Macaca mulatta: one gene and its partner. The protein of the gene in region 2 interacts with the protein of the main gene of each other region in a biochemical or structural test. Links are inferred from orthologs where the notes say so. Each region holds a gene or a part of one and is shown on either strand. Other genes may lie near its edges.

Region 1 (15,884 bases), on a different chromosome or scaffold from region 2:
GCATCCAAGATTATTCATGAATCTCTTAACTATTACTTCCAAATAGTGACATATGTGTTAAGTAATCTTATGCTGCTTAAAATTATATATAATAATTTAGAAAAGGCATCTTTGTGAGTGAAACTGGCCTTTAACGTCTGTTTAAAGAAAAATATAAGCAGTGCTGCCAAAGATGAAAAGCTTATGTGAAATTAACAAAATACAATCTCAATTTTTCAGAAACCAAAGATGATTTGTTCTTTCATCAGGCACATAAAATGTATTATCTACCAAACTTATATAGAAAATGATCCCAGTTATGAGGCAAAAGAATCTGTATGCACAAGAGACTGAAAGGAAGGAAGCATGCCAAAATGTTTACTGTGGATATTCTACGGCTTATAGTTATAAGGGTGATTTTTCTTTTCTTCTTGATTCCTTTCAGGATATTCCAAGTTTTCTATAAATAGTATGTTTTACTTTTACAACTAGGGAAAAAAAGAAATATATAATGTTTAAAGGGCAAAACAATACAGCTGTTTATTTTAAGATGAAAAGCTCTGACCCCAAATCATCCATTTTACCTACATTCTGTCACTTTTACTAAAAGCAGAGTTCTACTCATCACAGTGAAAAAACAATGAATTAAAAGTAATTTCTGATGTTAACCCAAGTACCCAGTTAGACTCCTTAAGAATATAGAATTGTGTAATCAACTTAGATAGTTCAAAGTCCAGTGATATAACTAAGTTCTTTGACAACTGAGCACACGTTGTTTCCTTACTTATCTTTAAACATTCCTAGTCCAATTACTCCCTAGCATAATACCATGTATAAATGGGGATGAGTTTACAATGGTTTCTGTAACCAAAAAGTATTTCTATTCTGTCCTCTGCCACATATTTTTAAATTATCTTTTCCATTAGCAGAAATGGGCAACATAAACAATAAAGCATGTTAAGTCTGTTGCTACAAATTTACCTTGCGAAAATTTTTGTTCAGAGAGCAGATATCTGCATTATTTAAGGACATTTAGTCATTTGTAGCTATTATTTAAGGACATTTAGTCATTTGTAGCTAACACCTGAAGTAAACTACCCTAAGTCAATTTTTAATATTTCAGTCTAGACACAGTAGACAAACTATTTAAATATTTTATAATTTACTGTGTGTAGTTATTTGGCTTCAAAGAAAAAAAAGAGGGCTCACATTCTATTTAAATTAAGACATTAATATATTTTATAAAGCCCAAACCATAGTACACTAAGAGCCAGAGGGGTCTAGGAAATTGATCTCAGTGGGTATACAGCAAAGACAAAATCTGGAGGCAGACGCTAAAGGAAGTTGAGATAAATAAAATTCAAATCAGTATATTAACAGAACTACACAAATGTTTACAACACAGTAACTACACTTTTCAATTAGTTCATTGTGAAAACTGAGCAAAATATTCAACAATTTTGGGTCAACAAAAAGTATGGAGTATTTTAAGACAATAAAGAGTGACTGGTGTTGAGAGTACTGAGGCTACACATAAAGGTACTGAAATTCAAATCTGAAAAATACTGTGCTGGCCAAACATAACACTACAAATTTCTAAGGGAAGAATTCCCGTTTTGGTCCCTAGATTAGATGGTAAGTAAATTAAAAAAACAGCTCAGAAAAGCAGCAAAAATATTAACATTTACTAGAGTCTCAAAACTTTGTATTGGCTGTGAGTCTGGGGGAAAAAACACTTATAAATGTCATACTACCAATTAAACTTTCAAGAGTCATCAGAGTATTTAGCTTTAAAATTTTACTAAATCAGAGAGACCTTAAACTACACATTCAGAATGCTGAACTAGGTAATCACATATTAAAAAGATAATGACTCATTATTAGTAAATTACCCAGTCTGTTCTATCAAAGTAGTAGTTAAGGTCACCAAATCATGTTGGTGCCTTTGGTTCTGGAATTATAACTAGCTGTACTGTAGGAGCATCAGCACTTAAGTTTTATGCCAGTGGGAATACTCTTGGCTGCCTGGCTTCACAGGCACTGAATACACTTAAAATTATAAGAAACTGACTGGATTTAGTAAGTTCTGAATAATACAATAACCAACTGTATATTTATTATGAAGTTAAGAGCCAATCTCCTACCCAAACCCTCTTCTATCAGCTGCACATTTCCCAAATGAGTAAGATAAAATGACTCAATCTAAACCAGGTGAAGGAATGTATTAACATAATCCAACAAAAATGAAATAAAACAATCCAGAGTTTTGAGTGTTTTTTTCACACTTGTAATAAACTGAAAAAATATTTCAATTAAGTAAAACAACGATATGCCACAAAAAGCCACTCCCATCATCCAGAATACTAAAGCCCTTATACAACACTAGATAAATTTTTATATAAAACAGTAGAAACTAGCATACCATTAATTAGAAACCTCAAAATATTCAAAAGACAGTATCAAGTACTCAAGAGAAAGCTCAAGAAGCCAAAACCTCAGAATCCATACATCCTGGTTGTTACCCTAAATTTTAATTAACTACCCACACATTTAATCATAATCAACTTTTTCAGAGATATACAAATCAATGCATCTATTTAAAAGGACTACTCTTTATCGTTAAGAACTTTACATTAACTTTTATATTCTACTCAGCAGGGTGTCTGTCTGTACTCCAAATTACCTCTCATGTTCCAGGAAATAAATACAAACTCATATGCCTTGTGATCACTGATGGCCTGCTTATGTAATTCTAGTCCACTAAATGTTAATTCCATAGAATATGCTCTTGATTATTTAAAAACTCTAATTAATTTCTTGATGAAATACTGTAATTCTCCAACGGTTACAATTTTGTAAAGATATGCAATAACTGAGTATCACTCCCATGAAAGACAAAAAAAGTGTAATTTTGTTCCAAGATTAACTTAGTCTCATGTATCTCTATTAAGTCTTTCAAGGATTCCAGAGAATCTTTTCATATCTCCATTTCTGGAAAGTGAAATCAGTATAGAAGTAATTTGGGAACTTGAAAATGGCATTCATTTTTTTCAGCAGATGCCAAATTTTTGACCGACATGGCTCTCACAATTACTTTGTTACCATCAGTCCAGTCAGTTAACAGGTTGTAGGAAAAGATTCCTTTTTGCAGACACTGCTAAGCTGTTTAAAGAGAAGAGAAAGAGATTAATTTAGTGATTATAAAATGCACAAATATTTAAAATATTTTGAACACTTTTTGTTGGATTATATCAGGTGTGACTACATTTTAACGAAAGTGGACTTTTTAAGATAAGTCTGGTCAAGGAAGTGCAGAAACAGTAAGTCAATATGATAGAAATAGGTCAAAATATGATGTGTTAGTTCAATTAATGTATGAACTCCTGCCACCATCGAAGACAAATATTAAAAAGCTACGTCTTTAGTCTAGTTCTGTATTTTACCATAGAGGCACATTTAGAAGAAAAACAAAAGGGTCACCCAAATACTAAATTGTTTTCAACCATTATAGTAAATAGAGCCAAACCTAGAAATTTCAAAAACAATCCATTTTATATGCCATAAATCTCCTTTATCCATGTGCTAATCATCCAGAACACAATTTTCTAAAAATAGTAAGACAACAGTTTCACATTAATCATAACTTTTTTAATTAACAAGTAGTGAGTCGGACACTTTAAGATATTGTTTACTACATACTGAAATAAACAGATCTGTTTAAATTCAGAAACCCAAACATTTACAGTAAAATGTGCTTACACATAAATATGACCAAATTTATTTAAAGCCCCTATTAGATAGATCCTAAATACATGCAATTACCATGTAAAAACCAGACCATGAAGTTGATGTAAAAAATGACAAAATCACTAAGTCACCAAAACTAGAAAAAAAAATGAAATGGAAACTGAGGAAAGACAGTTAATAAAACATAAGGAACCTAACAAAGCAGCTTTAAAAATAGGCCATACTAATCTTTCCATTTTCAAAAGTTCTTTATCAAGTAATTCCAAAAACTGCCATTTATAAAATGACATTCTAAAAATCTACACTTGGAATTTCAAAGCATCTCAATTCAGAAAGCTTTGACTGCTGTTTTCTCCCCAGCCCACAACTTCAAATAATGCAGGAAAAGTATTGACGTAAGGAAGAAAATATTCCAAGAGAATGTTATAGTTTTTAGAAAAATGAACTTACTGCTTTCCAGAACCTTTTAAGACCCACAGTCAGCATTAACAACAATCATTTTTCCTATTTTCATCCATTATTTTCCAATGTCATGTTAGAGATGAATAAATTCTTTGAGCCCATAACTAAAAGATCAACAAACCTGGTTTTATTATGACACCATATTTTTGTCATTGGTACTGCACAAAATTATATACAAAGAAATATATACAAAAATGTTCAAGTATTAGTTAAATTTCAATTCAAGGCTTCTGTTTCAAAAAAGCTACATTTAACATATTTCATAAAGATAGCACAAATTAGTCATTTCAAATAATCTTTCCAACTACTTTTGGTTTATATATATGTATATATATATATATAAAATTCAGTAGGCACTAAAAACCCATGCAGCTGCATTGTGAGGGGCTTGCTCCTGCCCTTAGGTATAAGCAGGTTCATCACTCCAAGTTGTGAGTTTGGCTACTACCCATCATGCTCAAGTGCAGTAGTAGATGATTTTACAAAATATGCTGTGATGCACTGGAAACCAAAGACCAATTCAGGTCTCAAATCGTATTATCTAGCAACAAAACATTTACAGTTGTGCAAGAACAAGGATTCCATTTTCATAACCAAATAACAACAAAATAAAACATGTGTAAGATAACTTACATCTTTGGACTGCTGGAAAATACTTTTTAATTATGAACATTTTAAAAATAAAAAACAGCAGAAGCCCTGATATTACCTCTTTTTCCTCATTTCTTATACTACCTTTTAAAATAAAGCAGGAAATGTGGCCAGCAGCTGGTCCCGTCTCTTCTGCCCCAACAGCTGTATCCACTTTAGCACAAAGAAAAACAAGGATGCTAAATACGTATATACTTTATCAAGCAGTGATGTTTCACAAAGAATTTCTTAATGCCTCTTACACTGAAGGACACCATAACTCAATTTATACAAATGGTTAATAGATTCAAGGGAAGAATAAATCCCACCTTTGGGAAAATAGTGCCAATCGTGTTATTTAAGTGGCCAGAAGCACTCAATTTAAAAAATTATTCTAAAATAAGACAAATACTTTTGAAATACAGAGAATAAGATTCTTTGTGAAGCCTCACTTTACACGTTTTCATTCACATTTCACAACCTTCAATATCTAATCATACATATATAAATTTAACCTAAAATTTTAATACAACAAAAATAACGATGTTCAACAATTTATTCATACTCAGTGATAGGGTAATCACTGCTGGTCCTCAAAGAAATATTAACCATTCTTATTCTCGAAGTAACTAAAACACAGAAGTCTGATATGCATGTTAATTTCCAACTTCTCTAATGGTGAGATACTAAAATCTGTTACTCCGTATAGACTGTTTCTATATCTCCTACTGAAAACTAAAAGGCATTGATATTTCAGAGGTACCTGTCACCTCCAGCAAAATAACTATCACATTTGTGCATGCCCCAAATACTTATTGTCAACCTCTGAAAAGTTGCCCTAAAATCGGAATTCCAATTTGCACCTTGTACAACTCGGAACTTCCATTCAACTTCACCTGTTTCACTGTCTCCAAACTGTATCTCTATAAGCAGGTTTCAGTGTACAGTTGGAACCGATGTCATCCAAGGCCATGTCCACACTGGGGACAGAAGAGCTAGGTACACGCAAGTCTGAATAAGGGGACACATTAATAGCTATTTCAACCAGAAGAGGCATCTTAAATACATTCTTGACCAGCACAAGTCTGTTTCCAGGGTGGACAGGGCCCAAATTAGATTTCCCTCCCACCTTCCAAAACAGGAAAAAAAAAAAACCACACACACACAGACTGAGATGTTGCCCATTAAAGTAGACTAAGCAGCAGAGCATGAGCGTTACGGGAAGAGATGGATCCTTACCAGGTTGTGAGGCGGGAACGACTGTTCTGTAACCCCTACAACGGAGCCTGGCAGGAAGGAAATCACCTAAAAAAGAAACTGTCAGAGAGATTTAATAGTCACATGTTATCATTAGGAGTTGGTTACTGTGTCACATTCATGCTTTTAGCTAAACACTTTAAGATTCAATATTACTTTTTTTCTCTCCTCTGAAATGTGTCCGGTGAAGATGTCCCACTAAGGTAAGTTTGACATGGTGTAAGGGAGTTGAAAGGGGTAAACGCGGATAAAGAGCAGATTACTTGACCCTACATTTTAAGAGAAGACGACGCCTTCCGGGCGCACGCCGAGCAGAACTCCACCGACACCTTATCCTTGTCCACATGGAGACAGACTCCTCCCGCCGAGTCGTCCTCTTCCAGCAGGTCCTGCTTCTGCTTTCCCACCGGCAGAGCGTAGTCGTGGTCACCGGCGGGCGAGTCTCTGAAGAGCGAGGTGGTCAGCCGCAGTCCCACGCCGCTCAGCCGGCTCAGCAAGCGAGCCAGTCCAGTCTCGTTGGCTAAGACTGCCCGTAGGTAGCGACTCTCCTCCTGCAGTGCCTGTACGCGTTTGCCCAGCTCCCGATTCTCGGCCCGCAGTTCCTGGTTCTCGGCTGCCAGACCCCGTACTCGACTCTCCAGCCCCATCACGTACTCCTTCTTCTTCAGCCGATTAAGGCGGGCAGCGGCCGCCGCCGCCTTCCGGGGACTCTTTGTCGCCGCCTGGTTGTTGTCGTTACCGCTGCCGCCACCGCCGCCTCCTGGAGACTTTTTCCGCCTCTTTTCGGCGCTGCCACTGTCACTGCTGCTGCTGCAGCCTCCGATACCGTTTAACAGCCTCTGCAGCAGGTCAGAGAAGCGCTGCATTTCAGCAGCCGCGGCCTCATCGTCATCCTCCCCTCTCCACAGGCCGCCGCTATCCGAGCCTCCGCCAGACGAGGAGAGAGGCCCCGGCGAGCTAAGCCCGGGGTCCAGGTGCCAGTCCGGTTGCCGGGGGTCCAGGAGATCCGCCAGTTCCAGCCCAGACAGAAAGTCCATATCCTCCGTTTCTTCTCCGGGGAGGCTGGCGATCGCTTCCTCCTCCATCTCCTCGGGCGAGGGCGCGCGCACGGCCACCCTGCCGCGGCTCCCCCTCCCGGCTTCCAACTCCCCTTCGTCGCCAAGCTGCTGCTTGCGGCCGGGAGATCCGGCCGCTGCTGTCTCCTCCCCCGCTGCCGCCCGGGTGAGGTCCGAGGGCAGCGAGCAGGTTGCAGCCGGGGCTGGGCTCTCACTGCGGGTTGGGGAGTTGCTGCCCGAGGCTGCCAGCAGCTTGGTCAGGCTATGCCTCATGAGGGCCGGCGGCGGGCCGCGGTAGGCCCTGGCCGCTAAGAGTGGGCCTCACGGGCCCCAAGGATCCCGCGCCCCAGGGTGGGTAGCCCCCGGCACTGGCCGAAACGAAATGCAGGGAAAGGTCCGAGTAGCCTCCCGCCTCAGTTGGCTAGTCGACCCCCCGCGCCAGGGCGCAGGGAGGGTCGGGAGAAAGAAGCGGTGAGGCCCACTGATGACTCGACCGCACCACCCAGACAACGGCCTGGCCGGAAGTCAGTGGTTTTCGCCCCAGCCCCGCCCACCGCGTTTCGCGCGCCACCAGGCCGTAATATCGCGAGGTTTTAGGGTGCTTTGGAGTGGGAATAATTCCAGCTTTCTAGTGACGTCATAATAACTGCAGCAAAAATAACAACAGACTCTAGATTTATCCACCCTAATTCAATAATACCGCCCAATACCCAGACTCAACAGTTCAACACACTGTTTTGCCATATTTGCTTTATCTTTACATAAATGCTTGTAAATTTTTTTTGCTGAATCATCCTAAAGTTGCAGGTAAGACACCACACCCCTGCGTACTTCAGTGTGCATCTCTAAAACTAAGGACTTTTTTTCATAATCATAATACTATTACCAAGTCTTCAGAAAATTAACAATCGTTTACTAATACTATTTAATACCTGGGCCATACTAGATGTCCTCAGCTGGATAATGGATATGCTAATTACCCTAACCTGATCACTACATTCCATATGTATGGAAACATCACTATGTACCCCATGAATGTGACAGTTATTATTTGTCAATTAAAAAAAAAAAAAAAAGGAATGTAGAATACAACGTTCCTTACAAAAATTGTCTTCGGTTGTTCATGCCATTTTTTACAAGTAGGTATTTTCACTTGAGCCAAAATCCAGTCAGTACTGACTTACTGCATTTGGGTAACGAACAAAAACTCTGACAAATAGAGCCAGAAAAGGCTATGAAGAGAGGGTACTCATACTTGTACGCCTGAAAACAAAGACTGCAAAACCACAACGTTGCACAAAAACCATCATGACCTTATACAAAACCTCTGCAAGGATGTCTGCCCAGAAGCTGCCTGTCCAACCTTGAACTGACGTCACCCTTGTTATTGACCTTTGTAGTCAAGATAATTATTTCAAAACAATGTGTAACCATCCTCATTTTTTTTCCTTTAAAACCCTTTGTCTTCCTTCGTCTTCCTGCATGCACACATAGTTTACTATGGCATGCGTTTTCCCATTGAAATGCTCTATTTTCAATGCACATCTTTTATTTTAGAGACCTTTTCTGTTTGTTATTTAGGTTCACATCCCACAAGGGATTTGAGATTTGAAGCAGTTTACAAATACAGATATTTAGGTTCATATCCCACAAGAGATCTGAGATTTGAAGCAGTTTACAAGTACATTAGAATATAGTAAAACAAAACATTTTGAATTTTTAAAAAGCAAGGCCAAAAAAAAAGATGAACTAGGAAGAGAAGGAGTTCTGAAAGGGGAAACGGTTAATATTGGAATTGGATGGATGCAATATCTTACTCAGTTGTTTGAGTTGGGCTAAAATTGTTTCCTGACAGCCCAAACAAAAAAAGAGAAATGAATTTTCCTTTGTTCATAAGTAAAGTATATATGAATTCTTTAACCACTTTTCTAGTTCTTAAATCTTAAAGAAACTTCTCTATAGGATACTGAATAATGTAGCAGATATCCTCTAGGATAGCTGCTTCTATACAGTATTTCTTAAGAGAGACAGAAAGCAAGTTCCAGGAAAGTTGAACACTGACAGGTCCTAAATATTGAGAAACGTGCTTGGTACACTGCACAGGCTTCAACAAATATTTATTGAGTGAGTGAACAAAGTCTACAGTTTTGACTGAAGGCATAACACTAAAGCTCAACTGAATGAAAACAATTATTTCAAGGTGTGAAAAAAGTATGACCTGTGGTATCTAGAAGAATAAATAAAAGGACTCCTTGTCTTGCTTAACATTCCATTAGGAAAGATTTTGCTAAAGAACAACAGCACACAGTTCAAGGTGATATATGTATACTCTGGCCTCCCTTGAGTACAGGTGTTTTGTATGGCTGGTAATCCCATTCAACTGCATTTTCCCCTTAGGCAAAATTCAATATTATTGATTGATTTATTATATTTTTTAAACTACAAAATTCTGTTTTAAATACACATGATTTGGCCAGGTGTGGTGGCTCACGCCTGTAATCCCAGCACTTTGGGAGGCCGAGGCAGGAGGATTGCCTGAGCCCAGGAGTTTGAGATCAGCCTCGGCAACATAGAGAGACACCAACCCCCCCACCACCAACCCCCACCCACCACCTTGCCTGGCTAATTTTTTGTACTTTTAGTAGAGATGGGGTTTCACCATGTTGGCAAGGCTGGTCTTGAACTCCTGGCCTCAGGTGATCTGCCCGTCTCAGGTGATCCACCTGCCTCCGCCTCCCAAAGTGCTGGGATTGTGGGCGTGAGCCACCGCAACCTCCCAAATTTGCTTTTCCTTGATTATTGGAAGGTTGAATGTTTGTCACATGACCAACTGACTTCTAACGTGAATAGGATTTTCACTTCCCTAACCCATTTATTTATCTTTGAAGTAGGGGAAAACGTTCTTCAGGGAAGATGTTTGTCTTTTTTCTTCTTGATTTATGTGAACTCTTTACATTATAAGGAAAACATCCCTTTGCCTCTTATATTTTCCAACTTTTTAAAAAAATAATTTTACGATTTACTAGGGGTGGAGTTGTAAAGTTCTTTCTTAGGCTGTAATTTTTAAATAGTCAATTTATCAAAGACCAGGCTCAGCGGCTCACACCTGTAATCCCAGCACTTTGGGAGGCCGAGGCAGGCAGAACACTTAAGGCCAGGAGTTCGAGACCAGCCTGGCCAACATGGTGAAACCTCATCTCTATTAAAAATACAAAAAATTAGAAAAAAATTTAGCCAGGTGTGGTGGCACATGCATGTAATCCCAGCTACTTGGGAGGCTGAGGCCCAAGAATCACTTGAACCTTGGAGGCGGAGGTTGCAGTAAGCCAAGATTGTGCCACTGCACTCCATCCAGCCTGGGCGACAGAGTAAGACTATGTCTTAGAAGAAAAAAAAAAAATCCACTTATCAATTCATTGAATAATCCATACTTGTCCCACTGACTTCCCAACATGTGTGCCATATATTAAATTCTTACATACACTTGGATCTATTTCTGGTCTTTATCTATTTTATTGATCAGTTCTGCAATTCCAGAAGCAAAATCACTCCACTTTTTATTGGAGTTTATATTACATTTTCATATCTCATATGGCAAGTCCCTCTTTGTCACTTTTATTTTCTCAGAATTTTCTAGCTATACTTAAGTATTTATTTCTCCACATAACTTTAGAAGACTTTCCAAGTTCAAAAAAGCTAGAATTTTTATGGAAATTGCATTAAATGTATTCATTTCTTTTATCTAGTTTTTATGCAAACTTTACCTAGTTTTTATGCAAACTTTGCATAAAATAGATTATTTCTTCCGTTCTATTTCTAAATGGTTATTGTTACTATGTAGGAGAGCTATTTATCTTTTTTGTTAAATTTTTAACTCACTAGTGCACCAAACTTTCTTGTTTTAATTTTCAGCTTATCAATTTTTAATAATTACATAACCTTATATATAACTATTTTGCTTTCTTCCTTGCAATATTTATTATTATCTTGACTGATAATATAATAGCACTTTCAGATTCATGTCTAATAATAGTGTTTATAGCAAACTTCCTTGTCTTATTCCTGACTTTAACAGAAATGCCTTTACTATCTAGCTATTGACTTGAGATTAGTATTTTTATTAGATTAAGAAACATGCTCCTATTTGTATTTTACATGGAAATTTTAACAACATGAATGGCTGTTTTATTAAATGACTTGCAGCATGTGTCAGGATTCAACTATACTCCAAATCTTTGGAGGGAAGGAGGTATAAAGCCATGTAAAAACTGTGTAAGGTTCACTAGCTTAAGATAATTGTGAGAGAAGCCTAAACTTTATAACTCTGTGTATTGGGTTTTGTATATTGGGGAGGCAGTTTGAAAAACATCTGTTCAGCTTCTCGTAGCTAAATAAAGGTTTTGCAAAACTTGACCCATCTCACGTACCTACATTATTCTGCATCTGTCTAGAATTGCAAGATCAAAGCAAGAAAATAATTTATTCAGTCATTCTACACACACACACACACACACACGGTCTACTTTGAGCTAGATCCTGTTATAAGCATTGTGGGTATAATGATGGGCAAGGTCGATAAAGTTCTCATGGAGCCGACTTTGTAATGAGAGAAGACAGAAAATAAATAGGAAAGTTTTATAAAAATGCTATACAGAGATTTTTTTAAAGGGTCACCCAATTGAAAATAAATCTATAATTATTTTAGATTGGATAGCCAATGGACAATTCTCTGAGGAAATAAAATTTCAGCTGAAACCTCAGTAGTGTGTTAAGAAATAAAGACAAAAAGGTTGGAGCAGAGTGGGTAAGAAGAGACATCATAGGACATGTGTTTGTATACACACTATTTACAACTGAATTAATTAAACGTTTTTTGTTTGTTTGTTTTGAGACAGAGTCTCACTCTGTTGCCCAGGCTAGAGTACAGTGGCATGATCTCAGCTCACTGCAACCTCTGCCTCCTGGGTTCAAGCGATTCTCCTGCCTCAGCCTTCCAAGTGGCTGGGATTACAGGTGCTTGCCACCATGCCTGGCTAATTTTTGTATTTTTTAGTAGAGACAAGGTTTCACCATGTTGGCCAGGCTGGTCTTGAACTCCTGACCTCATGATCTGCCCATCTCAGCCTCCCAAAGTGCTGGGATTACAGGTGTGAGCCACCATGCCCGGCCTAATTACATGTTTGTAAATACACAAGCATTTCATTGGAATTTGAAAGAAGAAAAATCCTGAAAGTTTCTAGCAAGCATGTAATACAAAATGAAAATTAATTTAAGACATGTAGGGCCACTGATACTTTGTTTCACATTCTTTATTTCCTCTTAACATTTTAATCCCCCCGCAATAAGATCCCAAGGTTTTTTGTTTGTTTGTTTGTTTGTTTTTTGAGACGGAGTCTCGCTCTATCACCCAGGCTAGAGTACAGTGGCGCGATCTCTGCTAACTGCAAACTCTGCCTCCCGGGTTCACGCCATTCTCCTGCCTCTGCCTACTGAGTGGCTGGGACTACAGGTACCCGCCACCACACCCAGCTAATTTTTTGTATATTTAGTAGAGACGGGGTTTCCCTGTGTTAGCCAGGATGGTCTTGACCTCCTGACCTCGTGATCCACCTGCCTCAGCCTCCCAAAGTGCTGGATTACAGGCGTGAGCCACTGCACCAGGCCTCTCAAGTTCTTTAACCATAGATTTTCCAAACATAGGAAAAGAATGTCAACTCATCCCCTGAGACATGCATACATAAATTTTTCAGCTGGAGCACCAGAATACAATGTAGCATCAATATCTAGATAGATTAGAAGAAGAGGTTGTCAGCTAAGAGTGAAGAGGAGGATAGGAGTTGATATAGATTAGATTGTGTCCCTCAAAAATGACATGTCGAAGTCCTAATCCCTAGTACCTTAGAACGTGACCTTATTTGGCAATAGGATTTTTACAGAGATAATAAAGCTAAAATTAGCTTATTAGGGTGGGTTCTAATTCAGCATGATTTTTGCCCTTATAAAAAGAAAACATTTGTACATAGAGACAAACACAAAGGGAAGACAATGGAAAGACACATAGGTAGAGGATAAGCATGTGTATTAATCCATTCTCACACTGCTGCAAAGAACTGCCCAAAACTGGGTAATTTATAAAGAAAAAGAGGTTTAATGGACTCACAGTTCCACATGGCTAAGGAGGCCTCACAATCACGGTGGAAGGCAAAGGAGAAGTAAAGACATGTGTTACATGGTGGTAGGCAAGAGAGCATATGTAGGGGAACTGCCCTTTACAAAACCATCAGATCTTGTGAGACTTATTCACTACAGTGAGAACAGCATAGAAAAAACCTGCCCCCATGATTCAATTACTTCCCACTGGGTCCCTTCCACAACATGTGGGGGTTATGGGAGCTACATTTCAAGATGACATTTGGGTGGGAACTCAGCCAAACAACATAATTCTGCTCCTGGCCCCTCCCAAATCTCATGTCCTCACATTTCAAAACCAATCATGCCATCCCAACAATCCCCCATTCAGCATTAACTCAAAAGTCCACAATCCAAAGTCTCATCGGAGGCGAGGCAAGGCAAGTCCTTTCTGCCTACAAGCCTGAAAAATCAAAAGCAAGTTAGTTACTTCCTAGATACAATGCAGGTACAGGCATTGGGTAAATACACCCATTCCAAATGACAGAACTTGGCCAAAACAAAGGGGCTACAGGCCCCATGCAAGTCCATAATCCAGCAGGGCAGTCAAATCTTAAATCTCCATAATGATCTCCTTTGACTCCATGTCTCACACCCAGGTCACACTGATGGAAGAGGTGTGTTACCATGGCCTTGAGCAGCTTCATCCCTGTGGCTTTGCAGGGTCCAGGCCCTCTCCTGGCAGCTTTCATGCATCGGCACTGACTGCAGCTTTTCCAGTGCACAGTGCAAGCTGTTGATAGAGCTACCGTTCTGGGGTCTGGAGGACCGTGGCCCTCTTCTCACAGCTCCACTAGGCAGTGCCCCAGTGTAGACTCTGTGTGGGAACTCTGACCCCACACTTCCCTTCCGCACTGCCCTAGCAGAGGTTCTCCATGGAAGCCCTGCTCCTGCAGCAAACTTATGCCTGGACAGCCAAGTGTTTCCATACATCCTCTAAAATCTAGGGGGAGGTTGCCAGACCTCAATTCTTGACTTCTATGCACCCAGAGGCTCAATATCACATGGAAGCCGCCAAGGCTTAGGGCTTGCACCCTCTGAAGCCATAGCCTGAGCCTGTACCTTGGCCTCTTTTAGCCACAGCTGGAGCAGCTGGGATGCAGGGCACCAAGAACCTAGGCTGCACACAGCATGGGGCCCTAGGCCCAGCATATGAAACCATTTTCTATTCCTAGGCCTCTGGGCCTGTCATGGGAGGGGCTGCTTCGAAGATCTCTAACATGCCCTGGAGACATTCTCTCCATTGTCTTGGTGATTAACCTGTTGCTCCTGGTTACTTATGCAAATTTCTGCAGCCAGCTTGAATTTCTCCCAAGAAAATGGGTTTTTTCTTTCCTACTGCAACATCGGGCTGCAAATTTTCCAAACTTTTATGTTCTGCTTCCTCTTGAATTCATTGCTACTTAGAAATTTCTTCTGCCAGATACCTAAATCATCTCTCTCAAGTTCAAAGTTCCACAAACCTCTAGGGCAGGGGCAAAATGCCACCAGTCTCTTTGCCAAAGCATAAGAAGAGTCACCTTTGCTCCAGTCCCCAACAAATTCGTCATCTCCATCTGAGACCACCTCAGCTTGGACTTCTTAGTGTTATCACATCAGCATTTTGATCAAAGCCATTCAACAAGTCTCTAGGAAGTTCTAAACTTTCCCACATGTTTCTGTCTTCTTCTGAGCCCTCCAAACTATTCCAATCTCTGCCTGTTACCCAGTTCCAAAGTTGCTTCCACATTTTAAAGTATCTTTACAGCAGCGCCCCACTACCCAGGACCAATTTACTGTATTAGTCCATTCTCACACTGCTATAAAGAACCGCCTGAGACTAGGTAATTTATAAAGAAAAAGAGGTTTTATGGACTCACAGCTCCACATGGCTAGGGAGGCCTCACAATCATGTGGGAAGGCCAAGGAGGAGCAAAGGCATATCTTACATAGTGCAGGCAAGAGGGCATATGCAGGGAAACTGCCCTTTATAAAACCATCAGATCTCGTGAGACTTATGCACTATCATGAGAACAGCAAGGGAAAAACTCTCCCCCATGATTCAATCACCTCCCACCAAGTCCCTTCCACAACATGTGGGGATTATGGAGCTACAATTTAAGATGACACCTGGGTGGAAACACAGCCAAACTGTAACAACCATGTGACTGGAATGATGTGTCTACAAGCCAAGGAATGCCAAGAATTGCCAGCAAACATCAGAAACTGGAAGAGGCAAGGAAAAATTCTCCCCCAAAGCCACTGGAGAAAGCAAGGCCTTGCCAACACCTTGGTTTTGGACTTCTAGCCCCCAGAACCATGAGACAATAAATTTCTGTTATTTTAAACCACCTGATTTTGGGTACTGCTTTGTCATGGCAGCCATTCAGTAAAACTGTTAAAGGAGATGAAGAGAGGCTAACCAAATATGCCAAGAATCTAGCTGAGCCTGTTGTATCATTCAGTGCTCAACTACAGGAAACAGAAACCAACTTAGCTACTTTAGGAGGAATGAAATTTAATTCAGAGAATGTAGTGCTTTAAAAGTCATTGGAAAGACTGGAGGGAGGAGTGGGCATTAGACTG
Region 2 (15,517 bases):
AGCCTCAGGGGAAGGGACCTGGGAGCTTTCTGGCAGCTCCGTTTGTCTCCTGAACTCTTCCCTCCCCACCCCAGCCTAAGGGCTCCTTTGGTGTGGTGACTCCCATTGCTGCTGGTAGAGAGCATGGCATAGTCCCCTGAGGCTGGGTCTGATTAGGAGTGACGATCTGGCTCCCTGGGTTCCCTGATGACACTGCCTCGGGGCCCATTATTTGTAAGAGCATTTGCTCCCCCACTGCCGTGGGTGGTCTGTTCCTGATCTTTAACTGGTATTCCATCCTAAATAAAGACATGATGTGGCCACACATCTTCCCGGCAGTGGTCCTGTCTCCGGGTGACCTCCATCAGCAGGGGGAGGGGGAGGGAGTGTGCTGTGACCCCAAACCTTGGAGACCAGGGCCTCTTCCTGCCTGCTGGACTGTAATGACCCCACTGGGCAGAGAAACTCGGATATCCATGGAGACTCGTGCCCTTAATCTTTTAAGCAGCTTAACAAGAAGCCAGTTCAGCCTCTAGCGCCTGGAAGAACAGGCTGACCATAGGCCCGGGGCCCCTTTCTATCAAGGACACGCCCACTGTTACAGAATCGCCCAGAAGTGCAGCGTGACAGGCACTGCCCCCCGCTGAGGATGGGAGCCGGGGTCCTGCTGCTTCCCCGCTTGTGAGCTTCCCAATAAATCTTACACTTATGCCAAGTAGTACTATTGGGTGCCTGTCCATGCCCCCTCTGGGTGACAGTCATTTGTGTTTACCGCTGGCACTCTGGTCCAGTGGGTCAAGGACAGGACTGAGGAGTCTGCCTTTTAACTGTCCCCCTGAGCAGTTCTGGTGCAGGTGTCTGGAAGGCAGCAGGGAGCTGGGGTGGCTGGGGCAGCACTGGAGGAGAGAGGGTTGTCCCCATGGGGGGCCAAGGAGGTGCTGACCGTGATGGCCAGGACCTGGTGACCAACAGGACCCAAATAAGAGGACACTGAGGCCAGATGCGGTGGCTCACACATGTAATCCCAGCACTTGTGAAGGCTGAGGCAGGTGGATCACCTGAGGTCAGGAGTTCAAAACCAGCCTGGCCAACATGGCAAAACCCATCTCTACAAAAAAATACAATAATTAGCCGGGCATGGTGGTATGCATTCGTGGTCCCAGCTGCTTGCGGGGAAGAGGGCTGGGGTGGGAGGATTACTGGAGCCCGAGAGGCGGAGGCTGCAGTGAGCCAAGATGGCGTTACTACACCTCAGCCTGGGCGACAGAGCAAGACCCTGTCTCAAAAAAAGAGGAAACTGAGTTGTCACTTCAACCTAGGGCTGACAGGACAAAGCAGGAGGCCTTCCCCAGTCTAGACAGCATGGATGGGTGTGAAAGCACCGGAAGCATTTGCGTCACAGGTGGTTTGGGGAAGCAGAGTTTGAGGAACCTACCCCATGCCCCACAGAAGGGCCCCAGCCATGGCTTCCTGTGTCTTCCACAGTGGGATGGGCTGCTGAAGCCCCCACACTCTGACCCTCTTTGCTACTAGAGGAGTTGGCCAAGGGGGCCAGGCAGGAGTGGGCCAGGACTGCAACATGGGACTCTGCTGGGGCCCAGCTGCAGGCTCAGAGTTTAGCCTGGGCAAAGGCCTCTGCCACAGGCAGTGGGACTGTGGCACTTGGTGTGTGCCCCGTTCTTTCCTGCCTGGCTGACTTTCACGGGGTGTTGTTCCCATTCTCTGTCCACAACTCTCCCCACCCTTCAAAGCCCAGCTGGGAGGCCCTGCTCTGTCTCCTGAAGCTGCCACTTTCTACTTGGTCTAAGTGTCCACCTTCAGTCCCCCAACTAGGCTGAGAGCCCCCACCCCACCCCATGGGCCACCTAGGCAAGGGTGGTTGGCACTTGGGTGTCACTGAGGGGACTTTTTTTTTTTTGAGATGGAGCCTCACTTTGTCACCCACGCTGGCGTGCACTGGCACTGCTCACTGCAACCTCCGCCTCCCCGGTTCAAGCCATTCTCCTGCCTCAGCTTCCCAAGTAGCTGGGATTATAGGCATGTGCCGCCACGCCCAGCTAATTTTTATTTTTTATTTTATATTTTTTTGAGACGGAGTCTTGCTCTGCCACCCAGGCTGGAGTGCAGTGGCGCGATCTCGGCTCACTGCATCCTCCGCCTCCCGGGTTCATGCCATTCTTCTGCCTCAGCCTCCCAAGTAGCTAGGACTACAGGTGCCCGGCTAACTTTTGGTATTTTTAGTAGAGATGGGGTTTCACCGTGTTAGCCAGGATGGTCTCGATCTCCTGACCTCCTGATCCGCCCGCTTCAGCCTCTCAAAGTGCTGGGATTACAGGCATGAGCCCCCACGCCCAGCCTCACCCTGCTAATTTTTTAGTAGAGATGGGGTTTCACCATATTGGCCAGGCTGGTCTTGAACTCCTGACCTCGTGATCCACCCGCCTCGGCCTCCCAAAGCCAGGAACTTTTTATTTCTACCTGGCCTCTTTGAAATAAAATCATACTCTTCCCCTGGTTTTCCCGATCTCAGGAAACGGGCCCTCCATCCTTTCTCTTGCTTGGGGGGATCCCCTCTCTTCACACCCACATCTTGGCTGCCTCTCCTTGCTGATCCCAGCCCAGTCCCCTGCCGGGCTGAGCCCTGTGACTCCCTGAGCACCCATCTTAAGGAGCATGCCCAGCATGTCCATGCCTGACCCAGCTGCTGTGTTACATCTGAATGTGACACATGTCACATCTTTTTCTTTTTAGGGTCCATCTGTCTCCTTTACCAGAAGCAAACTTCCATGAGGGCAGGGATGTTTACTTGGCTCACTGCTGAAGCCAGCACCCAGTGTAGTGCAGAGCGGGCACCCACTCAGGACTAGTTGTATAAAAGAAGAAGGTCGTTCTCTGCTCTCCACAACCTACAGCCTTGTCCTAGACACAAAGCAGGAGAAAATGCTGAGAGTTGTCCGCTCTCGCCTGTGAGGTCCCTTCCTATCCCCCAGCCCCCAGCCCCTGGTCACTGGGTAAAGCCCAGCTCCACCTCTGACCTGGTCACCTAGGCTGGGCTGGCCAAGGCCTGGCAGGGGCCATAAGTTGCCACATGCAGGGTGGTGGCTGGACATCAGCCTCATCTCCGCCCCTTCCTCCCATACCCCTTATTGCGCTGGGCTCTCCGGAACAGACATCTGCCTAGCCAAATCCAGCTGGTTTGTCCAGGCCATTATCACTGCCTATACCAACTGCCCGTGGGCCAGTGTCCACCCCCAGGCCAGACTTCCCAAGGAGGTGCCTAAGTCTGGGTCTCAGCTGCATCAGTAAGAAGGGTGCAGTCATAAGACCCTCCTCACAGCCTCAGGAGGACTCTGAGCTCATCACTGGAAGGCGCCTAGAGCATCAGAGCTCTTTGAACGTTTTCGCCGCAGTCATTTTTGCTATTTCCCAGGCACTGCTCTAGTCCTGGAAGTACCGGAATGAATAAGATAGCAAAACACCTGCTGCCACAGAGTGACCTTATAGTTAGGGAATGGAGAACAGAAAGTGAATCTGTATACAGATAAACTCAATGGAGAAAAAAGTTACCAAAAAAACAGCAAGTGTGAGGCTCTGAGGCAGGACCAAGCTTGGCAGACAGATGGAGAAAGGCCAAGAGCACAGTGAGGGGAGGAGGTGAGGTCAAGGAGAAGGGCAAAGCCACTGTGACCTGAGCTGGTGCCTTCTGGGTGTGGGAGGCCTTAGCTGCAAGGGCCTGGAGAGGGCACAGCCCCAGCATCCTGGGTCCACACCACCAGCCTGCACTGCCCTTCTTGGTGCCTCAGTTTCTCATCTGCCAAATGAGGGCCGACCCCCACTGGCACTAGATGACTCTGATGCTGTTGGCCGCACCCTAACGCCTATTTAGTACCTGGATGTGGATGGAGGCCCATGGCCTTTGGAGAATTCTAGAATCTCAGCAGGAAAGACCTCGAAGAGCACCAGGTCCAAGACCCATGTGTGATGCCCACTTCCAGCGGTGCCTCGGGCAACTTCTCCACAAGCAGTTGCATACATTCCGTCAACAGTTGGCTCTCAGGTGACCGTCTATACTGGGCACCGGAAAGGTCATGACGGGCCATTTGTTTCCAGCTCAAGAGGCAAAATGAAGAGCCCAGACTGGAGCCCGAGTCCTGGCTTCAAATTCCAGCTCTACCTCTTTGCTCAAAATCCTCCTGGGTGAGCTGGGCGTGGTGGCTCACACCTGTAATCCCAGCACTTTAAGAGGCCGAGACGGGCGGATCACCTGAGGTCAGGAGTTCGAGACCAGCCTGGCCAACATGACAAACCCCATCCCCACTAAAAATACAAAAATTAGCTGGGCATGGTGGCAGTCGTCTGTAATGCCAGCTACTCGGGAGGCTGAGGCAGGAGAATCGCTTGAAACTGGGAGGCAGGGGTTGCAGTGAGCCAAGATTGCACCACTGCACTCCAGCCTGGGGAATAGGCTCAATCTCTAAAAAGAAAAAAAAAAAAAAAAAAAAAAAAAAGGCCAGGCGCGGTGGCTCATGCTTGTAATCCTAGCACTTTGGGGAGGCCAAGGTGGGTGGATCAGGAAGTCAGGAGTTCGAGACTAGCCTGGCCAACATGGTGAAACCCCGTCTCTACTAAAAATACAAAAATTAGCTGGGCATGGTGGCGAGCACCTGTAATCCCAGCTACTCGGGAGGCTGAGGCATGAGAATCGTTTGAATCCAGGAGGTGGAGGTTGTGGTGAGCCGAGATTGCACCATTGCATTCCAGCCTGGTCAACAGGGAGAGACCCTGTCTCAAAAAAAAAAAAAAAAAAAAAAAAAAAAAAAATCCTCCTGAGTGTGGCGTCTGCCTCCTGGGTGTGCTTCGGGGACGGGGTGAACACACGTACTGTGCTCAGTTACAGCAGTGCCTGGGCGCACTCACCCTCACTGTCCTCCCAGCCATTCCCCGGGCACACCCAGTCTACACCACCTTCCACAGAAGGAAAACTGTGATCCTGAAGGACACAAGAGGAAAGACAGACCTACCCAGGATACGCTGATCCTTGCATTCAAGCACTCATCCGCAACACAAAATCAAGCACTCATCCGCAACACAAAAGACATCGCCTGCCTGGAAAGGCGAGGTCTCCCCGCCAGCTTGCCAGGAAGAAGCTGCGGTGAGGAGGCGTGGTTTCTAGGCGCTGATCCATCCTAGCATGATGCCAGGCCTTCTATTTAGGTAGCAACAGGCACAACAGCCTTCACAGGAACTGTAGCCTTTGTGCCCAGCTCTAGCCAGAACCTGTGCAGGATGTCATCCTTCCACCCCATAAGGAGAAACGGAGGCCAACCCTCAGCTCCTGTCCTGCTTCAGCATCAATTCCGAAAAGGAGCCATTTCTTTCTTCAGGAACACGTTTCTACAGAACTCAGGGTAACAAGTGAAAACTAATCTTGTGTGCTTATCTCAAGGACTGTGCAAGCTTATCCAGGGTTTCAGGCGACAGCTGTTGGCATGAAGCCCTCTTGAATAAATAGGTAAGAGGCCCAGGCTGTCCCTCCCTCCCAACCTCTCAGAGAGCTCCAGCCTCCTCCCTACACAACCAGCGAACTCACCTCTGGGTAAAGGACCCAACTTGCTACAGTTGGCCAACTATCCGGCTGTATGGCCCCATGAGTCATCAGACATCGTGGCTTACACCTAGCAGGGCGAGCAGTTCCCACTCTGGGTACCCATCTTCAGTCCTGGACTGCCCTCCTCCCCAGATCTCACAAGGAATGTTATAACCAGTTTGGGATGCGTGGTTGGCGCCTCACTCGGCTAATTTGCCAGAAAAGGAATTCACACAAGTACTTTCCCTACAAAATAATTTATTCCAACACACAGCAACAGCAGAGACTCTATGTACAAGCACACTGACGCTCCTGACTACCCTCAACTAGGGGACCCTTTTCTTCCCCCTTGCCTTGCGGACCTCTTCTATCAAATCTTTCAGGTACTGGATCTCCTTGGCCAGGGAATCCGCCCTCTCTTTTAAAGCCTCATTCTTCTTTTCCAGCTCTTTGCACTCGCCAGTGAGGGCCTCCTGCTCCGCCCTCTTCTTCTGGCGGTACCTAGTGGCTGCTGTCTTGTTTTGCTCCATTTTTTTCAGCTTCTTATCCAGTTTCTCACCCTTTACTTTTGCTTCTACCATCTTCTCTCCAGGAGGGTCGTAAGGTTTGGGGCGGGCAGAGCCACAGAGAACACCTGGAGATGGGAGGCTCCTATTTGGAGAGCCCCTGGTAGACGGGCTATGCTGAGGAGAGCCCAGATAGGACTCCGGGCTCATACAGATGCCACTATCATTATCTGAGGGGGTGTCTTCCTCCTTTATGCACGGAGGGATCATGGCAACATAAGCAGTGGCATCTGGCTTCCTATCTCCTTCAGTGATATCCACTTCACTGCCCAGCTCTAAACTAAAGGAATGATCTGGAGTGGAGGACAGGACCCCTGGGGAAAGGGGAAGAGGTTGCAAGAAGGTGAAGGGGGCAACCTGGTCGGGTTTTGTTAAACTTTCTGGGAGATGGCCAATTGGGTTCACCGTCTGTGGGGGCTCCTTGTTAGTCTCCTGGACTAGGGGGGCAAAGAGATCACACGTGTCATCCAACGTGGTCAAAAGGTCATCTGGCATGGTTTCCAGGTCATCTATACCCAACAGGGCATCAAAGTCGAACTCCTTCAAATCCATTTTCTCCAACATCCAATCTGTCCCGGAGAAGGCATCCTCTGCAAAAGATTTGAATGACAGGGCCAAGTGAGTCAGATACAAAGATAACAGGCCCCTAACCCTAGATCCCACCCAGACGATGTGGTGGTGGCCCACTCACCCTTGCCGTTGTTGGAGGGACTGACCAACCCATCCACAGCCAGCCATTCGGAGGAGCCCGCCTTAGCCTTGTCGCTGGAGAACCCATGAGGTTTGAAGTGCTTGGCCACCTCCAGGTAGTCATCTAAGAGACCTAGGCTTTCTTCAGCCCCCAAACCCGACTGGTCGAAGGGGGACATCAAGTCCCCCACCAACACCTCGCTGCTCAGGAAGCTCATTTCGGTCATGTTGCGGTGCTTTGCTGGAATCGAGGAATGTGCTTAATTCGAAGATGTCTTTGTCGGTTACAGCAACGCTGCTGCTGAATGCCGTGAGAAGCCTGAATGGGAATCAGAAGCCAACTCCCATTAGAGGTTAGCTGGTCTGAGAATTTCATCTTTCCACTTACGAGGCGGGACTTCTCTAGTCCAGCCATCTATAGAGTCGGCAACGGGGCAGTTGCATCCGCCCCTCCCTGCTGCGGCTCAGGTTCCACAAAATGGACGCTCACGGAGACCAGGCGATTCTTCCACCGGCCACCAAGAGGAAGGCGCTCCGTCCCCGCGTCCAAATAAGGCCAGGGCGGCCGCGCCCCGCCCACCGCCCGCCCTTGACTCACGCCCGCGGCGCCGCCCTGCCGCCGCCATCTTGGTTCTTGCCACGTTTCGCGGGGGGGAAAGCCGAGACCCCTGGGACCCTTGGGGGACTCGGGGTCCGAGGGCGGCAGGGCCCCTGTGGAAGCAGTCCTGGCACCAGAATGCGCCTTCCCGATCCCGGGCACGCGAGCGTCTCGGGGACACCCAAGCAAAGACCACGCGTCCCGGGCGCTCGTAAAATCGCTTCCTCCTTGGCGGCACCGCCCCGGCCCCAGGCCGCACCCCACCAACCCAAATCCTGCGCCGGCCCAGGGAGCACAGCTGGACGACCCGCCCTGGTACTCACGCCATGGCTTAAGCCGCTGGGGGGGGTGCCGCTGCAGAGCCTGGTGCTGCTGCCGCCGCTGCAAAGGCCAATGCTGCCGCAGGCACTGCTGCCCCTAATACGCCATGGTGGCCGTGGACCCTGCGGGCGGGGAGGAGGGAAGGCGCACACGTGCAAACCAAACTACATTTGTGGGCGGACGAAGTAGAAATGGCCGCAGCAGCCGCCCGCCGGCCCTTTATAGACTTCGTCTCTAAGGGGACGCAGCACCGACGCATCCTTCCGCCACGGCCACGTGACCATCTCCTCCCGCCCGCTCGTTTCCCTCCCTTTGACGCCCCAACCGTTTATGCCCAGCGCGTAGCTGTGACGAGAAAAGGTGTTTGTTCTTATGACCTCACGAAACGAGAGAGGTGCACTACTTTACTAGACTTCTATGATCAGAGTCCGTTCTTTCCTTCGCCGCCGGAGCGCGGAGTGATCTCGCAGACACGCCTCGCTTCCGGTGTCGGCGCGGTGGGCGGGGAGAGGTCGTTTTCCGGCGGAGAGTTTTTATTGTGAAGGCCGAGGAAGCCAGGTTATCGCGCGAGGTGCTGGCGAAGAGCGCGCGTCAAGTTGATTGGCCCAGGCACGGTGAGTCATATATACCTCGAGCTCTTATTGGCTCAGGGCCCCAGGTGGGCGGCTGCTGGGAGAGGGATCACGGAGTCCGCGTGGTAAGGGTCGGGGTCTCGGGTCTCTGCCAGGCCTCAGGCCGGCCAGCCTGCTGGCCAGCTACAATCGCACTGGCTCCTGCCCCCAGGAGACCTTAGCCTAGCGCACCCCATAGTGGCCTCAGGGCCCAGCCCCTGCGGTCGGGTCCCGCCGCCCTCAGTGGAGGTCCGCCACTGGCGGCCCCGCCGCCACTCCCAGCCTGCGCGTCCTTCGGTTGCGGGGGCTGATTTCTGGCCTGCGGAAACCGGGGGGTTACCTGTTCCAAGCCTGAGTTTTCCAGAGACGCCATTCATAGCCGATACGGTGTTGCTGCCCCCGGGAGGTTGAAGGGGTCTCGAGAGGGCGCCTCGGGCCTGCCCACCTACACCCAAAGGCCAGCTGAGTCTGCATGGCTCCGTCTAAACTCTGGAAAGGAGCCGGGAAGACGCGCCGTCCTGTCTCCCAACCTGGGTTTTTACAATTCTCATCCGGCTCAAGTGCGAGGCTGCCACAGAATAGCATCATAGGGGAACTTCTGGTGTCCGAAGATTGCGTTCCCCTAAGAACAGAATTTTCTTCGCTGCCATCTACCTGGGGTAGTTTCGATTCACTCCGGGTTCTGAACTCCCCGGCCTAACCCGCTTTTCGGTGGTCATGCCCATGGCCCTGGGAGGAGAGGCGCTTGGGAACCCACGGCCACGTGCTCGGGGTTGTGCGTTGGGAAGGGGGGGTAGTCTGTTTTAATACAGGAAACCTCCGCATCGTCCTCAGCCCCCTCCAGTCAGGCCCTGTGAAGGTAGAAACTGAGTTTCCGCCTCCATTTCACCGGGCCACACAAGTATTTCTATGATCGCTGTGATACCAAACAACCAGGGAAGCACTGCTCTAAATAACCACAGGCCATCTGCTGCGCTCATTCAACCTCGCTCACAAGTCCTTTCCAATGGTAAACCGAGGCCCAATGGGATGAAGCTTCTTGCTCAAAGTCGCACAGCTCCCAGTGGAGGGAGTATAGGGTAGGAGTTAGAAGACAAATTTTGGGGAGCTCACCCAAAAGAATCCTGGCTGGGACATTTTGGCTAAGTGACTTATCCTCTTTGAGCCTCGGTTTCCTCATTTGTAAAATGAGACTACTGATGAGTATCCTTGCCCCATGAAGTGAAGTCATACATGTAAAGCACTTAGCATAGCGCCTGGTACATGTAAGCACCCAATAATAGTTGCTATTGCTGCTACCCTTCATAGAACTCAGGTCACCTGACCCTGACCTGTGCTACTCTCCACATCCTCCTGCTGCCTCAGAGGACTCTTAACTATTATTTAATGAGATGAAACCAACAACTTTAAAACTTGTATACAGGTATACACAAGGCATACCGGATGCTGGAATAAAAGTATGGTTTTTCTTTCTCTTTGGGGAATCATGAGAGTTGAGATATACAGAATTGGTGCCAGGAGCAGTGGCTCCAGCCTGTAGTCCCACCTACTCAGGCAGAGGTGGGAGGATTGCTTGAGCCCAGGAATTCCAAGCTGCAGTGAGCTGTAATCACAACACTGCAACTCAGCCTGGGCAACAGGGCAAGACCCTGTCTTAATAATAATAAATACAGGAGTTGTCTAGCCTTTCCATGCAGAGGCAGTAAGAATCCCTGAGCCATTAGCCATGTCTTCCAAAGGCCGAACTAGGGACCCACAGGACATGTTCTCCTTTTGCTATAGACAGTACCTCCTGACAGATGATGGTGCAAATGGTTGAGTATTAAAGTAACACTGCCCCAGTTTTGACACTGAAAAGGTCATGAAAGAATGACTCTCATGGCAGCCTGTCCCATCCATTCTTTTATAGAGACCTAGCTCAAACACTTCAAAGGTTACTCTAGCTGAAAATGGAGACCCAGTACCACTCCCACAGGAAGATGTTTCATGCAACACACACAAGTCAACACTGGTGGAAAGGAGACTTTTATTTGCTTCTTCCTATGCTATGGAAGGACATTGTGTTCCCCAGTTTTATTTCCTCCCGCAAGGAGAAAAAGGATAGCAGCTCTCTGGGTCTCAGGGCTAAGCTGCCTCTACTTATACAGACCTAACCAAGACAGTACAGAAAGAGTGGTGACTGATTCCAAATCTACCAGCTAACACACCCACCACCACTGATGGGCAGGCAAGTGACTAGAAGGCAAGCTGTGGACTTGGCCTCAGGGACCAATAATTAAAGACTACAAGGTGATCCAAATGTAAAGGTAAACACTTAGTGTGCAGCTGACCATGGAACCCACATCTCTGGTATTCTGGCCACTTATAGTAAGTGGCATCTACAAGGGCTGGAGCCTCCCAGCCTGGTGCAGGGGTCAGCTCTATGCTAAGTCTCCTTGGCCTTGAGCTTCAGACAAAAGGGCAGAGTTCTAACAAATCCTCTGACAGCACAAGTTGTCAGCCAAGTCAGAGTCCCAAGGAAGTACCATGGCACAGAGCTCTGCACACTCGCAGTAGTCTGTATTTACAGAATCCCCCCTCGGGGCCTCTCCTGGGTCCTTCCATCCTGAAGCTGATTCCCCTTGAAGACTATCTGCACTCTCACCTTGAGTGGAGTGCAGGGAGCACTGTCAGCGAATGTGGAATATGGACAGGTGCGCCTCCACCGGCCGGGACCCAGGAGACCGTGGGCCTCTGCAATGCTTTCTTTAAACTGGAGCTTCAACATATATTTAAATAAAACTTTAAAACTCACAACCAAGCATGTAAAGAAAAATACTGTCATCTTGAACTCATTTTTTAGGAAGGGCAACAGAAGAGAACCAAAATAAACTCTGGAATTTATTAGGTTTAAGATAATGAGTGCATTTTTTAAGTGTTAGGCGAAGTATAAGGTTTGCTAACCTTGATGGCACACACACAAAAATCTCTAGATGGAGAAGTAGAAGATGCTATTACTTCAGGCAAAAGTAAGAGTTACTGAACAGGAAGGCAGAGTAGCGGGGAAAATTACTCATCTTTTCTCAAAGATTTAAAAAAGGGGGCAGGTGCAGAATGTCTTCTTCTATCTAAAAATCTCAAAGCGAGTGCCTATGTTCCACATTTTATGAAGAGGAAGATGGCAGCAAAAAGAATGGCTTGCCCAGTCATGGTCAGCAAACCCACCAGGACCAAGGCTGAGAGTTCACACTGCTTCTAGTTCTGAGGACTTCTTAAGAGGTTCTTGCTTGTAAAATGACAAAGTTATGGTTTTGTCAAACAGTTAAAAGAGATGCTCTTTAAGAAGAATGATAAACTCATTTGCCTTTCTCAAGTGACAATTACACTAAAATAACTTGGAACTCTTAAAATCTTATCTTTTTTAAGCTCTCCTTCCAATTTTTATTTTTTAAAATTTTTTGAAACAGGGTCTCACTCTGTCACCCAGGCTGGAGTGCAGTGGTGTGATCTCAGCTCACTGCAACCTCCACTCTCCAGGTTTAAGTGATTCTCCTGCCTCAGCCTCCCGAGTACCTGGGATTACAGGCACCTGCTACCACGCCCAGCTTATTTTTATCTTTTTGGTAGAGATGGGGTTTCACCATGTCGGCCAGGCTGGTCTCAAACTCCTGACCTCAAGCGATCCACCCGCCTTAGCCTCCCAGTGCTGGGATTACAAGCGTGAGTCACTATGCCCAGCATCCTTCCAATGGTTTATGTGAAATTTGGTCAGAGATGCGAGGTTGGGAAAACTTAGAATTTTTTAATACTCATGGCAGGGAAACCAAATCCTTTATCTCAATGAAGAATAATCTACACTTTTGCAACACTCTATCAATCCTCTCCTCTCCCTTCCCTGTAATGGAAACCCAATGGGTACACTGGAACCCTCACTGTTAGGCTCTACCCCATACCTTCTAGATTCATCCAGGATGGTACTCAGGCGTACAGATTTTTTTTTTTTTTTAAACTCTCATTTGAGTCTTACCAACAGACAGATAAGCTCTCTCACGATTCTCAGCTTTATCGTTTTTTGTTCCCTCTTAATACTTTTATGCAAATGAAATTGAAACCACCATAAGAAATCCTTGTTAAGGGGAAAAGAGCCAAAAAGACCTCTAAATATAGTCAAGGTTAAGCCTAGTTGTCAACTTCCTAATCTGTGACAAAACAGGGGCAGGAATCTCTACCCTAAATTGCTGCTGAGGTATCAATGCTAAAGAGTTATTTCCTGTTACTATCATTGGAAAGGAATGAGACAGCTGCAGAGAGCTTCACCAGAACCTCACTGATGGAGAGGTAGTCATCGAAAAAATAAGACAACTTGACGGGAGGAAAACAAAATACTGAATAGGCAGATGAGAAACAGAATTATCATCAGAGTCTTGCCACAAACAGGGAAAAACACAAACCAAGACGACACATGGACATGGTGGATTAAACATTCCTCCCCACCTTCAGGATACATTTACATTGCAATAAATACTGCAATCTCAGCAGCAGGAAACAATGAGGAACGTAAGAAATGCCCATCTCCTCCCCTCTGCCTTATCTGTGTGCGCTCTTCCTTGGTAGCACCAATCTCCCCAGGTGCTGGGTGAGAAACAGGACAGGGGAAAGAGGTCTGTGCATGCTCACTTGCCCTCTGGCCGTACCCCGAGCGCTCAGCAAACAGCCCTCTCACGTTCCTATGGCAGACACTGGAGGATGAAGGGCTGGCTGTTGGGTCTGTTCTTGCCTAAGGCCACATCCTAGAAAAGCAGGGCCTGCCTGGGGAGAAAACATGGCCACCAAACCCCAACTAGTGACCAGATTTTCCAACTGACATTCAGTCGCCTGTCTACCTCCCTCACCCTCAACTGATGGCTAAGGCTGCATTCCTTCAAGGCCTTGTCCTGATTGGCAATAAAATAAGGAAAAGGGGTAAAAACCAGCATTCATGAGGAGGTGGTGTCCTGGCAGCCCCCATCCTTGTCTGTCTGACCCCTGCAGCCACAGATGAGGAACAGACACTGGGCACACAAACCCTCCACTAGGCCCTTAACCAGCTCTGGTTCCCTACTCTGCACTTCTGCTGATAGCCACCCAGAAATTCAATCTGCAAATAACTTAGAATCCAGCTTGTCCTGTGGGGATCACTAACAGTGTTTCCGTGAGAGACGTTCTCAGCATTTAGGAATGGGTCAGGAGATGGCGGGGAGGGCAGACTCTACTCCAGGAACCGGGGTCAAGGCCAGCTCTTCTACCAGCCTCACTCCCAGAAACCCTAAATACTGTCCCAGCACTCACTCTGTAGAGTTCAGCTTTGAAACATGCTATCACAGCTCTTCAGTGGCATTCAACTAAAAGGCAACATCTTAATTAGGCAGATATGCTCCAGGGACAAGAGCAAAACAGAAGGCATGAACAAGAGGGGAAAAAATAGAAAAGACACTGAATAGGAACAGGCAAACAGGCAAGGCAGACCAGACAGAGGCAGCAAACATGGGCTGAAATGCAAAACAAGTGGTCCATCAGCTCAGGCCAGCACACCACCTTCTCAATTCATTCCAGAAAAATTAGCCTGGAGCCAGGGGGAGCAGGGAGCACAGTGATTGGTAACAAAAATAGGAAGAGTTGGGTAGGAAAATAGGAGACGGAAGAGATGTCATTCTAATCAGCATGAAGTGACCAGGTTGATGATCAGCAAGACAGCAGGCACCAGGAACCCTGTGAGGCACCAACTACGTAGCCAAGTGTATCTAACGGAGAATCCAGGGCCTGACCACCAACACCCGCTTTGGCCTTCACCTGCCCTACGTCTGCAGCAGCACCTCTGGCTCGGACAATGAGCAATACAGAGTGTATCCTAATTCGTCTATTTCTTCAGGGGTGAGCTCTGCAAATAAGTTCACCTTGGGGTTTAGAGCACTGGGCAGGATTCCAGCCTCTAAGTAGCTGATAAGTCCCCTCAGGGCCTGCAGGAAACGGTCGGCCAGCATATCTGGAGACCAGTCAGCCTCCTCCTGGGCCAAGAGGAGGATGACATTGGTTAGCTGGCTGGCAGTGAGGTGGCCCAGAGACGGGGTGGACTTGCATATGGCCTTGAGGATCTTGAGGCACAGAGATCGGCAGCCCGAGTCAGCCTGGTCCAGAGCCCGCAGGCGTGCCGTCTCTGCGGGACGCAGGCTCAGCCGCCACAGGTTGTCATACTGGGCTAGCCGGTGTGGTTTGGCCACCAAGACTGTGTCACCGAGGGTCACTGATGGCAGGAAGTCAATGAAGAGATGTTTGTCACGCTCGTACTGTACCTCCAGTGTGAGGGCCTCCGGGGGTGGCGCCGGGCGGATCACATAGTCCAAGAGGGACCCTATGGCTGGCCAATTGATGGAGCCAGCCACCACCTTCTCAAATGTATCTGCGACTGTCTTTGGGGAGAGGTAGCCCCCTACTACACAGCGGTCCCAGTAACTGCTCCCACGAGGAAAGTACTCTGGATTCTCACGACGAACCAGGAAGAAGCCAGGAACATTCATGATGGTGTCTTCACCAGGAATACACGACCACAGGTTCTGCTCCAGCACAAGGGGCACAATCAGCTGGATGTGGTCAGCTGCCACCACCTGTCAGAGCAGAATTTAAAACGTTTGGAGGGTTTACTCTGTTCAAAAGACACGCTTCCTCCAACACAGTTCCCACCATCTTACATTCCCCCAGCAAGAATGGGAACTCTAGGCCAGACGCGGTGGCTCACGCCTGTAATCCCGGCACTGTGGGAGGCCGAGGCGGCCAGCTCACTTGAGGTCAGGAGTTTAAGACCAGCCTAGCCAACATGGTGAAACCCCGTTTCTACTAAAAATACAAAAAAATTAGCCAGGCATGGTGGCGGGTGCCTGTCGTCCCAGCTACTCGGGAGGCTGAGGCAGGAGAATTGCTTGAACGCAGGAGGCAGAGGTTGCAGTGAGCCAAGATTGTGCCACTATACTCCAGCCTGGGCAACAGAACAAGACTCCATCTCAAAAAAAAAAAAAAAAAAAAAAAGAATTCTTTCATGTCACCATATCAATCTACACAGACTGAGAAAACTAGAAAGGAGAGATGGATACAAGAACATAGGAAGGAGGAAGCCTCTTATAGCTTCTTAAAAGTTGTAAGTAGGACTAAAACA

Evidence for each region.
Region 1: the proteins of ATF4 (region 2) and CREBZF form a complex in vitro, tested with the Homo sapiens proteins (2 studies listed by IntAct, with this or other methods). The link is inferred for Macaca mulatta from reciprocal best matches to the Homo sapiens genes ATF4 and CREBZF.

The regions. Positions count from the first base shown.
Region 1 is NC_133419.1:86,251,286-86,267,169, forward strand, and holds CREBZF (CREB/ATF bZIP transcription factor), read right to left. Parts: upstream 7,630-15,884; 5' UTR 7,404-7,629; coding exon 6,345-7,403; 3' UTR 4,541-6,344; downstream 1-4,540.
Region 2 is NC_133415.1:12,016,048-12,031,564, forward strand, and holds ATF4 (cyclic AMP-dependent transcription factor ATF-4), read right to left. Parts: upstream 7,724-15,517; 5' UTR 7,050-7,723; coding exon 6,824-7,049; intron 6,723-6,823; coding exon 5,893-6,722; 3' UTR 5,810-5,892; downstream 1-5,809. Other genes in the region: mitochondrial dynamics protein MIEF1, read right to left, coding at 14,166-14,972. UniProt on the Homo sapiens protein: Transcription factor that binds the cAMP response element (CRE) (consensus: 5'-GTGACGT[AC][AG]-3') and displays two biological functions, as regulator of metabolic and redox processes under normal cellular conditions, and as master transcription factor during integrated stress response (ISR).